4 linked regions of the Drosophila melanogaster genome follow. The protein of the gene in region 3 interacts with the protein of the main gene of each other region in a pairwise test. Each region holds a gene or a part of one and is shown on either strand. Other genes may lie near its edges.

Region 1 (4,399 bases), on a different chromosome or scaffold from region 3:
GTTCTTGAGGAACACATTCAAGTTGCCTTGCACGTCGTCCTTGGCGCACAGGCGACACCACTGTCGCCAGTCGCTGCTGGGATTTCGATCGACATGGGGAGCCGCCGGAGCAGCGTGCATCTCCACCTGCGCGGCGGCCATCGGGGAGCTCAGCAGTTGGTTATAAATAAACAAATAAATAAATAAAGCGTAAACATATTGGATTGGATGGCTGGATCCGAGCTGGAACTGGATCTCGAACTAGAACTGGAGCCGGAACCAGTGTTGCAGATGCTGCCAGATCAGTCGGATTAAGTGATTTCAATTGGATACCCTTAAATAGAAAAGGATTAACCTACAGCTTTAAGTCAAATTCTAAGATCTATGTTCACTAGCTTCATCATCAGACATCAAATGAACTTAAATCCGCAACCGAAACTAATCTAACAAGCTTTGTTCTTAACTCCGCAGCAGTCCGGCATCTCTACACTTGCAGCGAAACAGCTGACTGGCTTCATTTTGTTTGTTTCCAATTGTGAATTTAACGGGACAGCGATTGTCAATTTTGAAAATTGGAAAAATGCTCGAGGCGCGTTTGAGTCAGACTTTGCTGCTGAAGAAGATCGTCGATGCACTAAAGGAAATCATCGCCCAGGGAACGCTGGACTGCAGTGAAAATGGTCTGGAGGTGAAGAGAATAACCCTCCATCTGTCATTTTGTTTCGAATTCCCATAAAAGCTGTTAAGTAGTTCCATTGAGACTTGGGACTGAAAATGAAAAGTTGAGATAAGAAATAAAGCTTTTACAACTCTATATTCCAGCTGCAATCGATGGACAACTCCCACGTTTCGCTGGTGGCCCTAAGTCTGGCTTCGGATTGTTTTGAAAAGTTTCACTGCGATCGCAATGTCTCGCTGGGCTTGGATCTGAAATCCCTGGGCAAGGTGCTTAAGTGCGCCAATAGCGACGATGCGGTCACCATTAAGGCCGTTGACAGACCGGAGAAGATTACGCTCAGCTTCGAGTCGGATGGCAAGGAGCGCACGGCGGACTACGAGCTGAAGCTCCTCAATCTGGACCAGGATCACATGGAGATTCCGAAAAAGGACTACACCTGCTTCATCCAGTTGCCGTCGTCAGAGTTCGCGCGCATTTGCCGGGACATGAGCATGTTCGACGAGTCCCTGACGATCGCCTGCTCCTCGAAGGGCATCAGGTTCTTGGCCAAGGGAGATCTGGGCACGGCCAACATTCAGCTGAGTGCGGGCACCGCCATGGACGTGAGCATTGAGGTGCAGGAGCCCGTGACCCAGTCCTTCGCCGGTCGCTACCTCAACACCTTCACCAAGGCCACTCCGCTGGCAGATCGCGTCAAGCTCTACCTGTCCGACGAGCGGCCACTCCTGGTGGAGTATCCCATCGAGGATTACGGCCACATTCGATACTACCTTGCACCCAAGGTGAATGACCCCGATTTCTAGCTGAAGAACTACTCAACTCAGTTATTGCATAAATTCGAGCGCAATTTAAAGCATAAGGAAAGGGGATAAACGATATTTTTAGGCAACAAATACCAAAAATCATTTTTTTTAAAGCATAGTATAAAAATATAACTTGTAATAAAAACTATTTAATTGTAATTAAAAAAACATTTTACAAATTCAAATTTATATACGAAAAAACTAATTTTAAACCTTGTTATTAATTATTATTAAGTTTTTAAGGTTATCTTAATGTAGATCTCACATTTTCTATTCAGAATACTTTTGTTTTTTCATGTTGAAGCTACAAAAGAAATTAGTAAGCTATTAATATGATACAAGAACGGTTAAATAGATGCTTATAATTATTGTTTTTTTTTATGTTTTTTTTTACATTCATTAAATTCAAATTAGTTTAAAAATAATTGAAAAACAGATAAAATTAAAATTAAACAAGTAAAAATATTGTATTTTAAACTGACCAGTGATGCCGGACCTTTTGATGGCCAGTGTTGTTAGGCGCAGACTGGTCACCCTAAGTTACTGCACGTATGTGGGAACAGCTGACAACCCTGGCCAAACGCAAATGCGGAGCTAAACAAAAACCGAAAAACTTAAAAACCGGCATAAAATCCCACGCAAGTACAAGTGAACAATGGACACCGAGGAAGTGAAGCGCGGCCGCGGACGAGGGCGTGGCACCAGGGCTCGCGGGCGCGGACGTGGCCGAGGACGCGGTCGTGGCAAGAAAATCGACGACAGCAGCATCGCCGACGCCGCAGCCCTGGCGGCCAGCAGCTGTGCAGCCCTGGAGGACAGTCCGGGAAGACTGGACGCCTCCGAAGATTCGGTCATGCAGGAGCTCGACAAGGACGGCGAACTGGAAACGCCCGGCGCTCTGGAGGAGCCCCTGCCGCACGGTGCGCTAGGAGCGGTCGCCGCCAGCGGGAACATGACTCCAGCGACGCAACAGCCACAGGTCCTGCAGCAAGTGCCACCGCCCGTGATGAGCCAAACAAGTGAGTCTCCTCCCCTATTGAATGGTTGTCCAAGATAGTTAAATTGATTAACATCTTGGCTTGACCAATTCCTTGGTATCCAAACTTGAAGCATTGAACAAAGCTATCTCGCTATCTCTCGCCCGCGCAGTCGACATGGAGGCGGACATATCGCAACTGGAGGCGCCCACTTTCACCACGCTTTCGCGCGGACCGCCGGAGCCGATGCTGCGCCTTAAGTGGAACCACAAGGTGAGCCTGATCGGCGAGAAGGTGCTGAACCCGATGATCCACTGCTGCGATCAGTGCGACAAGCCGATCCTCGTCTACGGCCGCATGATACCCTGCAAGCATGTATTTTGCCTCAAGTGCGCCCGCGCCGAGCCCATCAAGAGTTGTCCCCGCTGCACGGACAAGGTGTTGCGCGTGGAGCAGAGTGGCCTGGGCACCGTGTTCATGTGCACGCACGGCGGCAGTCGCTACGGCAGCTCCGGCTGCCGTAGAACATACCTTTCGCAACGCGACCTGCAGGCGCACATCAATCACAGACATGTGGCGCCGCAGCCGCCACCGTTGCAGCCACAGCCGCAGCTGTCAGCCATGGCGGAGCAGCCAAAAATGACGGATCTGGGCGGCGTCGGTCTGGGCCTGGAGTTGCACAAGCAGCGCAAGGCGAGTGGTAGCTATGGCTCCTAAACTAAGCTGTCCTGTCTATAAAAAAACAACCGCTTGCCCCTTGCAGCTCTCCGAGTCGTCTGTCCCCATATCCGTTTCCGCCTCCATTGCGTCCCGTCCCGTCCTGTCGCGGCTGCCACTGACCGGCGGTGTCGGTAACATCGGTAGTATTGGTAGTATACCGCCACCAGGATCCGCCGCCGCCGCCCAAAACGCCATCCACGGCGGCCACTCGACGCTCACGCTGGCCAATTTGACCAGGATCAACAATGCCAATGCGCAGGAATGTCACCAGGGCAAGGCCTCGCTGCACCACACGCTCAAGAAGGGCACGCCCCACCAGTCCGAGTCGGTGGCGGATGCCTCCTACTACAGCAGCGTGCTCGCCTCCTTTGGCAGTGCGGCCGGGAATCCGGGTTCTGGGCCACCCGGCGGTGGGGCAACAGCAGCAGCACAGCCCGCCAATCCGAGTGGCAGCCATTCCGCTGTTGGCCCAGGTGCCCTGATTGGAGGCTCCACCGACGCGCCAACTGGTGGCTCGAGTGGCAACTGGCAGCAGTCGCAATACTACAGATAGGGGGACGAAAGCGAGGGGCTAGTAACCAGGGTAGACGCTTTAACGCAGGCACGCAGGCTTTTAATTAAGTGAACAAGTGTATGTTAAGCTGAACTGAACACTATTAAAGATATTTTACGGGGTTAGGCCAACCCGAACCAAAAAATAAATGCTACTCCGGTTTTAAAGCTTGGGCTAAACTTAATTCTTAATGTAGTAGTGAAGTGGTTATCGTGGCGAACAAATCAGGATAACAATTTTATGAATACCTTTGCGGTTCTCAAGCTGAACGAAATTCAAAAATCCCGCCCGATTGGCGGCCAATCGATGACGGTACGGTTTCCACTCGAGCTGAATGAAATTCAAAAAGCCCGCTCGATTGGCCGCCTATCGATGACGATACGCTCCAGCTGGTTGCTGTTCCAGCGAAATACAAAAGGTAAACAAATGCGACTTGGAGCACAGACTTCGAATGGAGCATTAGCATAAACACAACAGGCCGCAGTGCCGGAGTCAAGTGGCAGGGCCCAGGGTGAACACAACCACATCCAGTATCTGATGAGCACAGCGTAGAACTTAGGAAATCGAGGCCACAAGCAGAAGCAGCAGGAGAAGCAGCGGTTGTGAAAGAAGTTGGCGAGCAAAAGTGAAAGTTGCGCCAGAAAAATGATGAAAATTGTACTCATCAGCGGCAAGCGAAAGTGCGGCA
Region 2 (4,290 bases), on a different chromosome or scaffold from region 3:
ATCATTGATTTCAAATCGTACAGTCACAATTCTTTTCACGCTCTGATACAACAAAAATATATATAAATACTTTTGAAACATTTTACTTTCCGCGTCTTTCTCTGACTTACCGTTATGTGGGCAGCCAAACTGATTGTGGTCACACTGCTGCTGCTGCAGTTTGCAGCCCTGGCGCTCAGCTGTTCGTGCGGCGAAGAGGCGAAATTGGAGTGCGGTTGCACAAAACATCACTAAAAACACAAATACTTGGGAATATTACACAAATTATTGTAAATAAATAGGAAATCACAATTTAGTTAAGATGGCGGACATACCGGCAACCAGCGAAGGTAGTGCGAACACTAGTGAGGCAGTAGTGGAGTATCAGCAGCCAACTCCGGAGTTTTTACAACGCAAAATCTATTTTTTGGTGGACCAATTGCGAACTTACCATTCGGAACTTCCCGAGTAAGTCCTTGATATTTAGTTTATTTAAATATTTAACGCCATTTTTGATTAACAGAAACTTGCAGACACGCATTTCCTACGATCTACTCACCGAACTCGCCAATTGTGTGCTAAACGATGGCATTTTTGTAATAGTAAAAGCATTAATGGAGCTGCAACACGAAACCGAAAGACACTTAATTAAAATACGGATGCAGGCGGAGAACGAGTATGAAATAGAAGTGGCCGAGTGGAGGAGCAAGATCAAGGATCCCGAGGAGTTGCGCCACATTTTGGGACTCATGAAAATAAAGCACACTAAGAAACTACACGAGTCGGATACGAAGATTATCGAAATACTAGATCAAAAGGTGAAGAATTCAATATCCTTTTGAGTCGTTCCATTCCACGCACTTTTAGTTGGTCTTACCATCCAAATTTCTTTAAAAACAATAGTCGAATCTCAAACTTAGATAATCCTAATCCTATTTAAAATTAAATTCAAATATGATACATAGTTTGATTATGGATGGATCTATAGATTAGGTATATTTTAGGTATATATTTATCTGCAGATTCTTATAATTGAAATGAAATTATCACTAAAGATATTTTCTTTTGTAATACAAATTATTTCTAATCATAACTTTAAATGCTTATATGGGAATACGAAATTAGATTTTACTACTTTAACTTTCTTTGTTTTTTCTTGATGTTGAACTAATATCTAATATCATTACGCAGGTTAATGACCAACAATCCACACTTCAAAAGGCCGGCGTTCCCGGCTTCTATGTCACCGAGAATCCCAAGGAGATAAAAATACAAATGTTCCTGTTGGACTTCATTTTGCGTTTGAGCCGGCTAAAATACGAGCCCGGCAAATAACAGTTAGTCCACAATCCGGAGAACACAAAAGACTGCACTTGACTTGTTCAAATTAGAATATTAAAGGCAATTAAATTATAACCCTGATCAAATGTCCCAGCTGTACGATCAATTGTGGCCCCAAGAAACCTGTAGCGCTGCGCAGTTTTAATCAGCGTAGAATCGGGAGAGGGAGAAAGAGACGGGGCCGGCCGCCAGAAGACTGAAGAGCGGGAGAATTGATAACGATAGCGCGGCACTCTCCACATTCGCGTAGAAAGCGGGAGAGGCGGCAGTATAAATTGGACCGACCTTTCTGCAGATGCATCAGTTCAGCTTTAAATGTTAAAAGCGACACATTAAATAAATAACAATTTTAACTAGTGAAATCATGTCTCTGACTATTACTTCCAGTGTCACTCATCCTGAGCTCAAGGATCTGGTAAGTAATTGGTCTAGTGATTGGTGCCTAATCCTGTGACTAGTGATTTCAAATGTCCTGCGGTTTAATTCGAGCTTAAATGTAAATTAAAAAATGCTATGATAGCTAATGAAATATATTTTAAATTTTTTTTTGCCGAATCGTGACTTTAATACACCTTTAAACAGTGTACAAATATAAATAAACAAATATATGCAATTAAATTATTTGATGTACAAGACATAAGTAATTTGTGAAGAGTCTTAAAGTTTCTTGAACCCCCAAGGCCGGGTGGCCAAAACTTTGATGTGCTTAGTCATAAAAGCCAGTTTCCGACATCTAATGTTCAGAATAATTAAAGCTCATGTGAGCACCTTTTTGTTGGCTAGAGGAATTCGGTTTGTTTTGGCCAGGTTCAGTTGCTTCCCAACAGTTGAGCAGTTTACACATAATAATGTTTTCGCGACTGTTTCGTAATTTCAAGGCGAGTTTTGCTCACCTAAAACCGCATATTTAAATGGTTTTAAAAGTGATTTAAGCTAGGATTAATTTAGTTGTTTGCTGTGCGAAGTGAAGCGCTGTTAGCCAACGACTTTTACTTTCTTTAAATCAGTTTTTCCATTGACCTTGATTTTGAAATTGATTTTGCAATAGTGTGTGCGAGAGAGATAGTATTTTCAATCAGCTGTTCGACAGCTGCAAGTGCAAGGCGAACAGAGCGAAAACCGAAAAGAGCGCGAGAGAGAGTTTAAAATGAGCGCACAAAGTGCATTATTATTTTGCTGACGACATCAGACGCGAACAAAGCCCCAAAGAAAATACTTAAAAAACTTAAAACCTGCCGAATATTGCATTTATTATATACATATAAAATTTTGTGCTTAAAATGCGCTGTTTGCCGGGCTATGGTTACGGCCTTACGTTTCTGTTTTTGGTGTGCGCTCAATACGAATAAATCTAATATTTCAAATTTTAGAAATCTGTTGCTCATACTCCCCTTTCTTCTTCTTCTTCTTCTTCCAGAGCACCGTTCGCAATGAACAAAAGGAACTGAACATTTCGCCGGTTCACGATGTGAATGTCACCAAAGCCACGGCCACTTTCGGCATGGGTTGCTTTTGGGGCGCAGAATCCCTGTATGGAGCCACCCGTGGAGTTTTGAGAACCACCGTGGGCTACGCCGGAGGCAGCTCGGATTTGCCAACGTACCGTAAAATGTAAGGGAGCAAGTTGAGAGCATTAATCATCCATATGTCTTCCTTTCACGTCCCTACATGTTGCATCCCATAATCCTTTCGGATCCGGTACTAACCACCAATCTCAACAGGGGCGATCATACGGAGGTGCTGGAAATCGACTATGATCCCACGGTCATTAGCTTTAAGGAGCTGCTGGATCTGTTCTGGAACAACCATGAGTATGGCCTGACCACGCCCATCAAGAGGCAGTACGCCTCCTTGATTCTGTACCACGATGAGGAGCAGAAGCAGGTGGCACACGCCTCCAAATTGGAGGAGCAAGAGCGCCGTGCACCGGAGATCATAACCACTGAGATTGCATCCAAGGAGAACTTTTACCCAGCCGAGGCGTAAGTTTTAACTAAGAAAATCTGAGTGCGTTGATATGAATTTCCTTGTTTGTTCATAGGTACCACCAGAAGTATAGGTTGCAGGGCCACAAGGATCTCGCCTCATCGCTAAATCTCAGCCCCAAACTGCTGCAGACCAGCTATGTGGCCACCAAACTGAATGGCTACCTGGCCGGAGTCGGCGGCATCGAGCAGTTTAAGGCGGAGGCGGAGACCATGGGTCTGACGCCCACCCAGCGGCAGTACTGCTACTACCACGTGGAGCAGAACGAGGGCCAGGGTCTCTACTGCTGACATGGCCGAATCTGCATAGACGTTAAGCGTAGATCGTACACCTAGGGGGGTAATTTTATGGATAGTTTGCTTGTTCAAAAACAGATTGTGTATTACGTAGACTTAGAAACGTATGAAATATATATGAAACGCATATATTTTATTATTATAATAAAAAAAAATATCTCAAACTAAAGTTAATGTTTTTGGTTTTTGATTTGGAATCTTATTTGTAGCACTGCCTTTCCAGGGTATTATTAGTATTGTTTCGCCACAAAGGCAACGAACTTAATTTTGGCTTGCATCTGAACGATAAAATATCTGCAGATACGTGCTAATAGCCAGCAGTAATAATCGACTTCATCCTCCTCATGCGCGAAAACAACATGATAACCAACTGAACAATCTGGCGTGATAAACAGCTTGCAAGTCATATTAAGTTCCTGTCCAGGATCCTGTCTTATCAGCCATAAACACCCGATAACAAATTCGCTGGCTCATCTGTTTGTTTAACTTTAATGAGTTTGCATTGCTGTCAAGATCTGAACGAAATTCTGCTGAAATTCGGTTTTTACTATACAGTATTATATTTTATATAATTAAATTATTTTCCACGAGAGTTTGTTTTTTTTTTATAAAATATTTATGAAAGCGTATCATCTTACGTAAGTTATACTTTGCCAAAATGGCATGCCAATAAATTTATCTAACCAAG
Region 3 (6,690 bases):
TTTCAGTCACGTTTGGGGTTATAAAGATCTTTAAGAGTATTATGATCCTAATCTTAGTAGAACGTGTAGCTAACTTATCACAGCATTTTTGCGCTTTCACTCTGGGTGGTATTTTCGACAGCATCTCGTGGCCGAAGATTTTATTAGAAAGAAAACATTTTTATATAGTATCACTTTACTTTTGCCAAATAAACTTTTTCGTATTCCTTGCTATTTTATGATACTCTTATATGGCAATATGAAATTTTTAATCTTTGAAAATAATGTCATAAAGTACTCAAAATTTTAATATTTCACATTCTAAATTTAATCAAAATTGTATTATGTTAAGGCGCAGTCTAAGCCATCTGGACAAGCTGCCGAAGGCAAAGGTGGCCGAATGGCTGGCCGGGATCGACACCATTATTTGCAGCACGGATGGGGTGCTGTGGCAGGAGAATACCCCCATTGAGGGCTCTGTAGAGGCATTCAATGCCATAATTTCAAAGGGAAAGCGATGTCTCATAGCCACCAACGAGTGCTGCCTAACAAACAAGGATCTGTTCCAGAAGGCCAAGTGCCTGGGCTTCAATGTCAAGGAGCAGGACATTTTCAGCTCGTCGGGTGCCATTGCGAGTTACCTTAGCGACCGGAAGTTTAAGAAGAAAATCCTCGTTTTGGGTGGTGACGGTATCCGCAAAGATCTGAAAGAGGCCGGATTCTGTTCCGTGGTAAACGATCTGCAGCCAAATGACCAGAAAAAAATCGACTTCGTCAGGAGCTTAGTTCTCGATCCGGATGTGGGAGCTGTTTTGGTGGCCAGAGACGACAACATGATAGCGAACGAGTTGCTTGTGGCCTGCAACTATCTTCAAAATCCCAAAGTCTTGTTCCTTACCACTTGCATTGATGGATTCCAGCCATTTGGGAAAAAGAGGATCCCAGATGCCGGATCTCTGGCCTCTGCCATCGAGATAATTGTACAACGCAAGCCTATCGTTTTGGGCAAACCGAATCAGCGGATTTTGGGCAAGTTGATGAAGTCTGGCGAAATAAAGCCCGAAAAGACGCTTGTCATTGGAAACTCGTAAGTTCAATGATTACTTTTATTGAGGATCATACTTTATCCTCTTTCCTTTAGGCTTAAATCAGACATTTTATTTGCAAGTATATGTGGTTTCCAATCATTATTGGTGGGCTGCGATAACGGAGCGATCGAAAAAGCCGAGAAAATTAAAAAAGAGGGAGATGAGAAGAAAATGAAACTTGTTCCAGATGCTTTTCTCTCCGGTCTTGCTTCTTTTGGGGAGTATTTATGCATCTAGGTGATGTCGGGCAAGAAAAGCGATTTCCATATCCAAAAAACATACCCAGCTGACCAAAAAGTAATTTAGATCATATTCAAAATTCAAACTAAGCCGCTCAAAAGCTGAACAGCTGTTTTGTTTCTGAGCACTCCTGTGTGCTAAATGATTTCGGTATTTTGGCTTTTAGCACAAGTCGCGAGTCAGTGCTACCAGTATATTTGTAAATTTTTAGTTTTAAAATTTGTAATCTAAAATAGTAAAGCAAATTGCCAGTTTTCTGTTGAAACTAATAGTTTTGCATCAATAATCGCGAAGAAAAAGTTGAATTAATGTGATAATAAAAAAATACATGTTGTTGGTATATTTTTGGTATTTGATTTGATTGCTTCGTGGTCGCACTGAAAGAAGAAGAGTAATAAAACATCGAACTATCGAAGAACGATATGCCCCGATAGGTTCGGACAAGACAAAGAACAAAATGTTCTCTGCAAAAGCTGTGCTCGCTTAAAAACGCAAAAAGTCAGTGCATCTAGTGCATTGTCAGTGGTGCATAAGATTGTTCTATAAATAGCGAAAAATGAAAATAAACTGCAGGCGAAGTAGAAAAAACACCTTGAGTTGAGTGCAACGGCTGTGCGAGTGTGTGTGCGTGAGAGCGAGAGTGCGCTCGTGTGTGTGTGTACACATGCATGTTGATAAACGAAAATAAAACAAGGGACCGCCCCCCGCCGTAGAATAGCCACCCCGCAAAGTTCATCACCCTAACCAGAATCGGTGGCACTGCATCGCGCTAAATCGGCCACTTTCCATTATCCGCATCCACCGCCCCTCCCGCTCTCTGGGTCCATCATCCACCTCCTGCGAAAACAACAACAGCAACCACCAGCGCCCTTACAACAACTGTTACAAAAGAGCAAGAGAGAAGACACCCCGCACTCACACTCACACGGAAGCAGTGAGTGTCCTCGCCAGAAACTCGAATTCCCAACCAAACATCCCGAATCTGAGGCCCAAATCTTAAGCGCCAATCCGCCGGAATGGACTCGGACATCGAAATGGATATGGAATCGGACAACGACGGGGAGTACGACGACGACTACGACTACTACAACACAGGTAAGTGGAAACTAGTACCTGATCTAGAGGGGCACTTCCCCCTGACAACAATCGGCCATCGATTTAACTGTGGCCAAATTAGGGGTACGAGTGTATCTGTGAGGAAGTACACACACACATGTCGGGCTCTTGGTTTGGTTATTCACCTTTTCGGAAGGAGGCCCGCAAGACCTGGGAATTTGCATTCAGCACTTGACATTCGCCTTGGGTTCCATGACCAAACCCCACACCCCCCATTTGATCTCCGCCCTTCTTCGCTGACCATGAAGCTTAAATTATGGAATTGAACTTGAAACAAACACACACGCACGTAGCTGCACGGCGAGAAAATTGCACTGTGTAATAGGATAAATGTTTAGTTTTAAAATGTCAAATCTAGGCCAAACTAAATGATTACATTTGGTACATTTCCCAAAGCAATTCTAATGATGATTTGATACCTCAATTTAGAGAATTATGTGATAGGGCTTGATTTTCAAATGGTTTTATAACATGAACTCAAATCAATATTGATTTAAAAGGGGCAAAATAATATAAGAATATTACTAAAGACTTGATTTCTCTCAGTGCATGGGCAAGTACAATTGGTAGTTGCGAGTTGGGACTGATTGCGAGGCTTGTGTTTTGTGGCTGGCTTCATTATTGCCCGCCACTCTGCTCACGCTCTTCGTAGCTCCACAACCCACACAAGCACACATTAACACACACACCACGAACACCAGCTCAGGTGCGTGCTCAAGTACGCAGTTGCATTCTGTTGTGTGCCGCTGTTCCGTCAACTCGGTCTCCGCTTCTTGACCTGTCCCTTATTGTTCCGACCTGGCCAAGACGCCCCCTAACTCAACCTTCAATCGGATACCTCATATCGGTAACATCGTAACGTCGAGCACTTCTATGGCAGCCTTGTCGCGCGGTTGTTTTCTCGAATTAGCCAATGTGACTAACAAAATGCAAACATGATTACCGGCTGCATACACTGTAATCCCTTTTGATCCATACATGTCAGATTAACATAGAAGATATTCCCAAAGTAATAATGTTTCGTCGGTTTCAACCGATCAATGTAAGTCAGCCATTGCTTAACTTACAAACTCAACTCAACCTTCGTAACTCTGGAACCAGTTTTGTACAATAAGGGATTAAAAGTGCCCTATTGTATATAACTGCAACTGCTAACTCAGGGTTCGTTTGAAATCCACCCTTGCTGTCTTTCAGTCTGATTTTGGTTTAAAATACAATCAGTTAGCTTAAATAACCAAAAGAAAAAGTGGAAACTGTCCTATCAAAGCATAATAGATTTATGATTTATAAATGTTATAAAGTTCAATTATATTATAATACTAATATCCTTTTCTTCTTCAGGCGAGGACTGCGATGTGGAGCGTCTGGATCCGAAGCGGGCCGACCCGGAGTACTTTGAGTACGAGTGCCTAACCGTCGAGGACATCGAGAAGCTGCTGAACGAGCGCGTGGAGAAGCTGAACACCATCCTGCAGATCACACCCTCGCTGGCCAAGGTGCTGCTGCTGGAGCACCAGTGGAACAATGTGGCCGTCGTTGAAAAGTACCGCCAGGACGCCAATGCACTGCTGGTGACGGCGCGAATCAAGCCGCCATCGGTGGCAGTGACGGATACGGCTTCGACGAGTGCAGCGGCGGCCAGTGCCCAACTGCTCCGACTGGGGAGCAGCGGGTACAAGACGACGGCATCGGCGACACCACAGTACCGCAGCCAGATGTGTCCCGTTTGTGCCAGCTCGCAGCTGGGCGACAAGTTCTACAGCCTGGCGTGTGGGCACTCGTTTTGCAAGGACTGCTGGACCATATACTTCGAGACGCAGATCTTCCAGGGAATCTCCACGCAGATCGGCTGCATGGCCCAGATGTGTAATGTTAGGGTGCCCGAGGACTTGGTGCTGACGCTGGTCACGCGACCCGTTATGCGGGACAAGTACCAGCAGTTTGCATTTAAGGACTACGTCAAGTCACACCCGGAACTCCGCTTCTGTCCCGGGCCCAACTGCCAGATTATTGTGCAATCATCGGAGATCTCCGCCAAACGTGCCATTTGCAAGGCTTGCCACACGGGCTTCTGCTTCCGGTGCGGCATGGACTACCACGCACCCACCGACTGCCAGGTGATCAAGAAGTGGCTGACCAAGTGCGCCGACGACAGCGAAACGGCAAACTACATCAGCGCCCACACCAAAGACTGCCCCAAGTGTCACATCTGCATTGAGAAGAACGGCGGCTGCAACCACATGCAGTGCTTCAACTGCAAGCACGACTTCTGCTGGATGTGCTTGGGCGACTGGAAGACGCACGGCTCCGAGTACTACGAGTGCTCTCGCTACAAGGACAACCCCAACATTGCCAACGAGTCGGTGCACGTGCAGGCGCGCGAGGCGCTGAAGAAGTACCTGCACTACTACGAGCGCTGGGAGAACCACTCCAAGTCTCTGAAACTCGAGCAACAGACGATCGACCGGCTGCGCCAGCGGATCAACTCGAAGGTGATGAACGGCAGCGGCACCTGGATCGACTGGCAATACCTCTTCAACGCGGCGGCACTGCTGGCCAAGTGTCGATACACGCTGCAGTACACCTATCCGTACGCCTATTACATGGAGGCCGGTTCGCGAAAGAATCTCTTTGAGTACCAGCAGGTGAGTCGCAGTTCGGCTATTCTTTAACTGGTTGCCCAATAATGTATTAATTCCGTGCAGGCACAACTGGAGGCCGAAATCGAGAATCTGTCGTGGAAGATAGAGCGCGCCGAGACAACGGACCTGGGTGATCTCGAGAATCAAATGGACATCGCTGAAAAGCGCCGCACCACGCTACTGAAAGACTTCTTCCCAGTGGACGCATAGGCAACCGTCGAGCTTCCAGGGCCACCAGAACGGACAGCCTGTCTTGTTTAGCACAAACACTCTTTGATTGACTGCTGACAGGTCGACGTGACGCGACAGTATAGAGACGCTTATTTAAATTAAATTATACACATATTTACATGTATCCATCTAGTAGTAGGCCCAACGACGTGTAGCTAATTTTTAAATTAAACTAATAATCAAGTGCATATAGACTAGAAAACGTAGCATAGAGCATAGTCGACTACTCGAAGTATAATTACTATAGTTGTGACATTCGAAATCACTCAAAATGATCGGTGTAACTGCAATACAACGCCTTGCGCAGAACGTTAACGATATACAGTATCTATAGCTAAAGCCCTAGCGATACCGATACCGGTAGCTATACCATAACTATAAAACTAACTTTAAATCTAGCAACTGACTAACTGACAAACCAGACGCATTTCAGTGGCCAAGTGTTCCAACAGTTTTCCAAAAACTAGCCCAAACGACCCGATGAAATGCAGAAACAGTAACAATTCTAAATGTATAGCGCCGCAAGTCAAGCAATTATAGATCAAAGACCGCCTAAGCAGATCGGCTCATCGGTTAGACCCTAAGTTTTAAACCTTGTATTAGCCCCGCGTGAACAGCATCAAGTATTCGCAATCTGTATCTCGTAACTAATCGCAGCACATCAATCGAACGCAAAAGTCTTAAGTAAGAACGAAGATAGATACTCCCCGTCCCCGATCCCGTTCCTTTTGATTCTCACTCGATTCTCGATTAACTTTGTAAGCTGAATCATAAATTATATTCTAGGATTACGCTATGTATGTATGCTTATGCGACTGAATTTGAATTAAATTTACACTAGATATACAACTATTCAACTGACTTTTCGACTGTGGGCTGCAAGCTTACGATTTGGGTCTTGTGCTTAAAGCTTTGGAGAAGCTCATACGAAGCTTGGATTGAGTGTTTTAAGGATAAGCTTTCACTCAAGTTTCAAGTTTGGGTTTTGAGCCGAGTTTATTTTTTTTAGTGATTGAGTACGAGCTATATTCCAACTTATCTTCCTTGATTTCGTTGTTATTCAGATTGGATGTGCTTAGTTAGTCTTCGATGATGTTTTTGCTATTATTTTTTACCCTTTTTATTGCCGAACAGTGAACTCTTTCTGCTGCTCTTCCGGCTCTTTCGGCTCTTCCGGCTCTTCCTGCTCATCCGACTCATCCTAACATCAGGCGCCAAAGGTGGTTTCTGCTTCGCAAGTTGGCTGGCTAAGGTGAACAACCGGCACTCGGAATGCTCCTTCAGCAGACTGTTGGCGAACTTCTTGACTCCCGATATCTTGGTCACCCTCACGTTGTTCATATTTTCCACTTTCTTGGCGGGATAGACCTCCACTTCGCAGCAGTTCTTGATCA
Region 4 (4,689 bases), on a different chromosome or scaffold from region 3:
TACGCCGATTGAAAAGCATTTAAGGGCCTGTGTTTGCAGCGTGCGGCCCTGTATTCGAATCTGCTGCCCAGCCAAGAACTTTTTGGCCAACGGAAAATGCGATGATGGTCTCAAAGAGGAGCTCGCCCGGTTCAAACCCTATATATACTTCACATACATGGACCTACAGGCACGAGTACCACTCACCGATATGGCTATTATCAGAGATGAGTTCTTTGATTGTGATGAAATGATTTACATCAGCGACTTTAACTATTTCTTAGAAGAGGTTAGCATTCAAATCTTCAATAAATGTGGACTTATAGTTTGGTTCCAGGATGGAAAATTTTGGGTTACCGTTGACCTCTTCATGGAAAAACAGGACTACTGCTTGTACCGGCACAACTTTGATTCGGATTTTCCAAAGTCCATGTGGATAATACGACACCGCTGCACAAGCCACATATCTCCTGGATCCTTAGAGAGTAATTCAATTATTATTTATAACAAAAGTCATCAATATCGTTTTCATAGCTATATAGAAAGAAACGAAAATAACTCCTTATTGGTGTGCAAACTGCTGACTGCATTCTGTGTGCCCTTTGCAAGTTTTTTAATTACAATAAGCTGGTTTTTTATTTCTTATATTTTCTTTTTCAGTTCTAATTATAACAATGATATGCTTTGTCCTAACAATCGCAGTATATCTATACATTAAGAAGCTGCGAAATGTTACTGGCAAGTGCATTGTATGCTGTATAGTTTCGAGGTTTATCCAGTGCTTGATCATGATACTAGATCATTTAAATCTATTGAATGGCATTTGCTCTCCAGCTGGTTAGTTCGAATTGGAGATATCTCTGGAAGCTTTAAATGTTATATCGTTGACTTCTTGCAGGTTACAGCTCGCACTTTTTCCGGATGGCTTCCAACCTCTGGCTCTCCGTCATCAGCTACCATACGTGGAAAGTCTTGACGTCGCTCAATCGAGTCGACCCTAACTATCGGTTCCTGCGGTACAACGCCTTCGTCTGGAGCACAGCCGCAATCATGACGGGAAGTATTTATATAGTTAATCAGATTTGGGAAAACGATCCCAGTAAATGGAACTGGTTGCCTCTGGTCGGTTTTATTCGGTGCTCGGTCAAAGGTAAACTTTCAATGCGATTGCTTTTAAATCGTTACCATGGTTACGTATTGCTTTTCCATATCAGATTGGCACCCATCCGTCTGGATCTATATAAGTGGACCGTCGCTGGCCCTGAGCACTTTCAATGTCGCCATGTTCGCCCTGACAGCCATTTACATTAGGAAAGTGAAGGGGGGTATAAATAAGTTCACAAATGAGGAGGAGGGAAGGATTAACTGCATAAACTTTGACAGCCAGACGTAAGATATGATAAAACCTTGGACCTTGGTAAACTAGTTATCCTTGCCGTATTATCCACATAGTTACCTACAGTTCCTGCGGCTCTCCATCGTGATGGGCCTTACTTGGATATTCAATGTCATTCCGTATTCTGCACGGCTCCACATTTTCTGGGAATGGGTCGGGATAATATCCGAGTATTTTCACAGCGCGTTTGGAATTGTTTTGTTCGTTCTGCTCGTCCTGAAGCGCAGCACATGGACTCTAATGATGGATTCTTAAGCTTGTTTCTATATAATTCTAATAATTGTTTACAATTAAAGCTTTAAACAATTAAAGCCCCTCATTTTATTAATATCCTTTGCTGAACGAAGGAATTGAATTGAATTTTATTGAACTCAATAAATAAATATAGTTTTAGAAAACGATGTACTTTAAACTGCCAAGAGGTCACCGCGACAAGCTTTTCACTTCGCCACCCTCTGGTAACACTGATTCTCCAGCCACTTTCGATTCTTTAAAAAACATCGATAGGTATCGCCAAAAAAATCAGCTGCTCTGCTTGTAGTTTTGCGATTTCATTGCAATTTTAATTTGCTTTACTGTTCAAAAAGAAATACAGTGCAAAATATGCCGAACGAAAACGCAGAGGACCTCTCGGGTCAAGAGCTAAAGCAGAAGGCCAAGGAGGTGGCCGACGCATCGGAGGCAATGCTCGAAAAGGTTGTTGCCGGCTTAAATATCCAGGACACGGCATCGACGAATGCAGCAGGAAACGAGGATGCGGAGCAGCCTGATGGTGCCAAGAATGAGGCTTCAGTGTCTGCGAATGCAAGTAAGTTTTCAATATGCCTGTGAAAAGTCATTTAGAGGCTCCTCCTGCGGCTGAAAAAATGAGGTTAGGTTTTGTCGGGAACTACAGTCCAACCTCTCTAACTTGAACTGCTGTGCTATTCATTTCAATTCAATTTTCAATTTTCATTTTCTGTGCAATTACTCCAAAGATTAGCCCTAACGGAAAAATAAACAACTCATAAATCATAAATACATATTTGATTTTGATGAAATATGAATATACTTACATAGATACAATTGAGTTTTTTATTACGAATAAAATATGTGTAATATAAGATTTCTACCTTGTTGATTCCATTGATTGATGCTTCATTGAAACCCCAAAATTGGGCAAATTTGTTGTCATGGGAAACTAGTCCACTGTCGTGATGCCTTAAGCTTTTTTTGGGGCAGATTAGTCATTCCAGTTTAAACTAATCGAAAAATGTTATAATACTATTCAACGCATCATCGTTTCTTTCAGGCAAACAGGCCTTGCTACAAGCCGTTTCCGATGCTATGGCCAGCACCCGTCAGATGGCCAAGAAGTTTGCATTTTGGTCCACACAGCCAGTCACCAAGCTGGACGAGCAGGTGACCACCAACGAATGCATTGAACCGAACAAGGAAATTAGTGAGATTAGAGCATTGCCATACACTCTGCCAGGCGGCTTCAAATGGGTGACACTAGACCTGAACGACGCCAATGATCTCAAGGAGCTGTACACGCTGCTCAATGAGAACTATGTGGAGGACGATGATGCCATGTTCCGTTTCGATTACCAACCCGAGTTTCTAAAGTGGTCGCTGCAGCCACCTGGCTGGAAACGCGATTGGCATGTTGGCGTTCGTGTGGAGAAGTCCGGCAAACTGGTTGGCTTCATCTCAGCCATTCCCAGCAAGCTGAAGTCGTACGACAAGGTGCTAAAGGTTGTGGACATCAACTTCCTATGCGTCCACAAGAAGTTGCGCAGCAAACGGGTGGCTCCAGTCCTGATTCGGGAGATAACGCGTCGCGTCAATCTGACGGGGATTTTCCAGGCGGCCTATACAGCTGGAGTTGTGTTGCCCACGCCAGTGGCCACCTGTCGCTATTGGCATCGATCGCTCAATCCCAAGAAGCTGGTAGACGTGCGTTTCTCTCATCTCGCACGTAACATGACCATGCAGCGGACAATGAAGCTGTACAAGCTACCCGATCAGCCCAAGACGAAGGGCTATCGCCGAATCACAGCGAAGGACATGGACAAGGCCCACAAGCTGCTGGAGGACTACCTAAAGCGCTTTCAGCTGAGCCCGGTGTTCAGCAAGGAAGAGTTTCGTCATTGGTTTACCCCCAAAGAAGGTATTATCGATTGCTTCGTGGTTGCCGACGAAAAGGGCAACATCACTGATCTGACTAGCTACTACTGCCTGCCATCGTCCGTGATGCACCATCCGGTGCATAAGACGGTTCGTGCCGCATATTCGTTCTATAATGTGTCTACAAAGACCCCGTGGCTGGACCTGATGAACGATGCACTGATCTCGGCCCGCAATGTCCAGATGGACGTGTACAATGCCCTCGACCTCATGGAGAACAAGAAGTACTTTGCACCGCTAAAATTCGGCGCCGGGGATGGAAACCTGCAGTACTACCTCTACAATTGGCGCTGTCCATCGATGCAGCCGGAGGAGATTGCTCTGATACTCATGTAGTCACCTTGTCACCTAAGCTCACATTCTCGCCCTGCCTTTCACAGCTCCCCTCCTCCGCTTTCTTCACCCTGCTGGAAGTGCCGTGCGGCTGCTTTGCTTTGCTCCTATTTACGTAGCTATTACCTGTAATCTTCAGTTATTCCAGCGAGGAAAGCCCTTTGCGAGCATACACCTAAATAGCATCATTGTGAAAATTGCATTTTGCAACGGCCAAGCTTCGATATTTTTTACTACAAGAACGAACACAAATTGTATAAAATGCGCAGCAATATCAATAAAAATGTAACGTTTACTTGGACCTTTATTGCCTATAATTGACAATAAATTATTTTGCTGCTCTTTTAAAGATGACAAGTTTTTATTTTTTTTAAGCAGATTATTGTATTTTTGCCCACTGTCCCAGCATGTGATAGTCTGGCCACTCTGTCACATGGCCATTGGTCTGGCAAGGTCGGTGAAAAAGCGCGCGCTAAGCAAAACAGCTGCACTTGTGTTGGTTTATTAGTTAACGAAATCTGATTCCAATGTTGGTTTCCTCATAATATTGACAATTAAAGACAGCCGCCGACATGGACGATTCGGTGTTCAAGCTAAAATACCAAAAGTACAAGTTGCGCGTCAAGGTGTGGGAGAAGGACTTCAAGAAGAAGAATGGCCGTGTTCCATCGAAGGTGAGATTGGGATGCGGATATGACAAGTATGCTAACTGGTTGACCTGTTGCAGTATGATATAAGGGACGCCAGTCAGGAGATTCGGGACTCATACAAAATGTACTACAAACTGAAGACATCCTTCCTGGAAGAGACGC

What was found.
Region 1: the proteins of ari-2 (region 3) and Hakai interact in a two-hybrid assay, tested with the Drosophila melanogaster proteins (one large-scale study listed by BioGRID).
Region 2: the proteins of ari-2 (region 3) and MsrA interact in a two-hybrid assay, tested with the Drosophila melanogaster proteins (one large-scale study listed by BioGRID).
Region 4: the proteins of ari-2 (region 3) and Nmt interact in a two-hybrid assay, tested with the Drosophila melanogaster proteins (one large-scale study listed by BioGRID).

What each region holds. Positions count from the first base shown.
Region 1 is NT_033779.5:19,580,088-19,584,486, reverse strand, and holds Hakai (hakai), read left to right. Parts: upstream 1-2,012; 5' UTR 2,013-2,116; coding exon 2,117-2,480; intron 2,481-2,583; coding exon 2,584-3,131; coding exon of another isoform or gene 3,132-3,155; exon of another isoform or gene 3,156-3,201; coding exon 3,202-3,711; 3' UTR 3,712-3,875; downstream 3,876-4,399. Other genes in the region: CG10366 (uncharacterized protein), read right to left, coding at 1-141; PCNA2 (proliferating cell nuclear antigen 2), read left to right, coding at 560-667, 802-1,461; Pmvk (phosphomevalonate kinase), read left to right, coding at 4,357-4,399.
Region 2 is NT_037436.4:15,509,435-15,513,724, forward strand, and holds MsrA (methionine sulfoxide reductase A), read left to right. Parts: upstream 1-1,617; 5' UTR 1,618-1,684; coding exon 1,685-1,735; intron 1,736-2,128; exon of another isoform or gene 2,129-2,168; coding exon of another isoform or gene 2,169-2,198; intron 2,199-2,454; exon of another isoform or gene 2,455-2,600; coding exon of another isoform or gene 2,601-2,648; intron 2,649-2,737; coding exon 2,738-2,931; coding exon of another isoform or gene 2,932-2,935; exon of another isoform or gene 2,936-3,041; coding exon 3,042-3,302; intron 3,303-3,361; coding exon 3,362-3,596; coding exon of another isoform or gene 3,597-3,641; 3' UTR 3,642-3,768; downstream 3,769-4,290. Other genes in the region: gdl-ORF39, read left to right, coding at 115-234; gdl (gonadal), read left to right, coding at 302-447, 503-797, 1,171-1,314. UniProt on the Drosophila melanogaster protein: Has an important function as a repair enzyme for proteins that have been inactivated by oxidation. Catalyzes the reduction of methionine sulfoxide in proteins to methionine. Does not catalyze the reverse reaction involving the oxidation of methionine residues.
Region 3 is NT_033778.4:22,211,118-22,217,807, forward strand, and holds ari-2 (ariadne 2), read left to right. Parts: upstream 1-1,717; 5' UTR 1,718-2,323; coding exon 2,324-2,402; intron 2,403-3,764; coding exon 3,765-5,068; intron 5,069-5,128; coding exon 5,129-5,275; 3' UTR 5,276-6,147; downstream 6,148-6,690. Other genes in the region: CG11291 (uncharacterized protein), read left to right, coding at 324-1,066, 1,121-1,304; CG30278 (uncharacterized protein), read right to left, coding at 6,401-6,690.
Region 4 is NT_037436.4:8,175,617-8,180,305, reverse strand, and holds Nmt (N-myristoyl transferase), read left to right. Parts: upstream 1-1,876; 5' UTR 1,877-1,978; coding exon 1,979-2,183; intron 2,184-2,666; coding exon 2,667-3,880; 3' UTR 3,881-4,171; downstream 4,172-4,689. Other genes in the region: mthl7 (methuselah-like 7), read left to right, coding at 1-464, 640-816, 878-1,129, 1,194-1,368, 1,432-1,630; RecQ4 helicase, read left to right, coding at 4,450-4,551, 4,605-4,689. UniProt on the Drosophila melanogaster protein: Adds a myristoyl group (tetradecanoyl group) to the N-terminal glycine residue of certain cellular proteins. Such protein modification are critical for the developmental processes that involve cell shape changes and movement.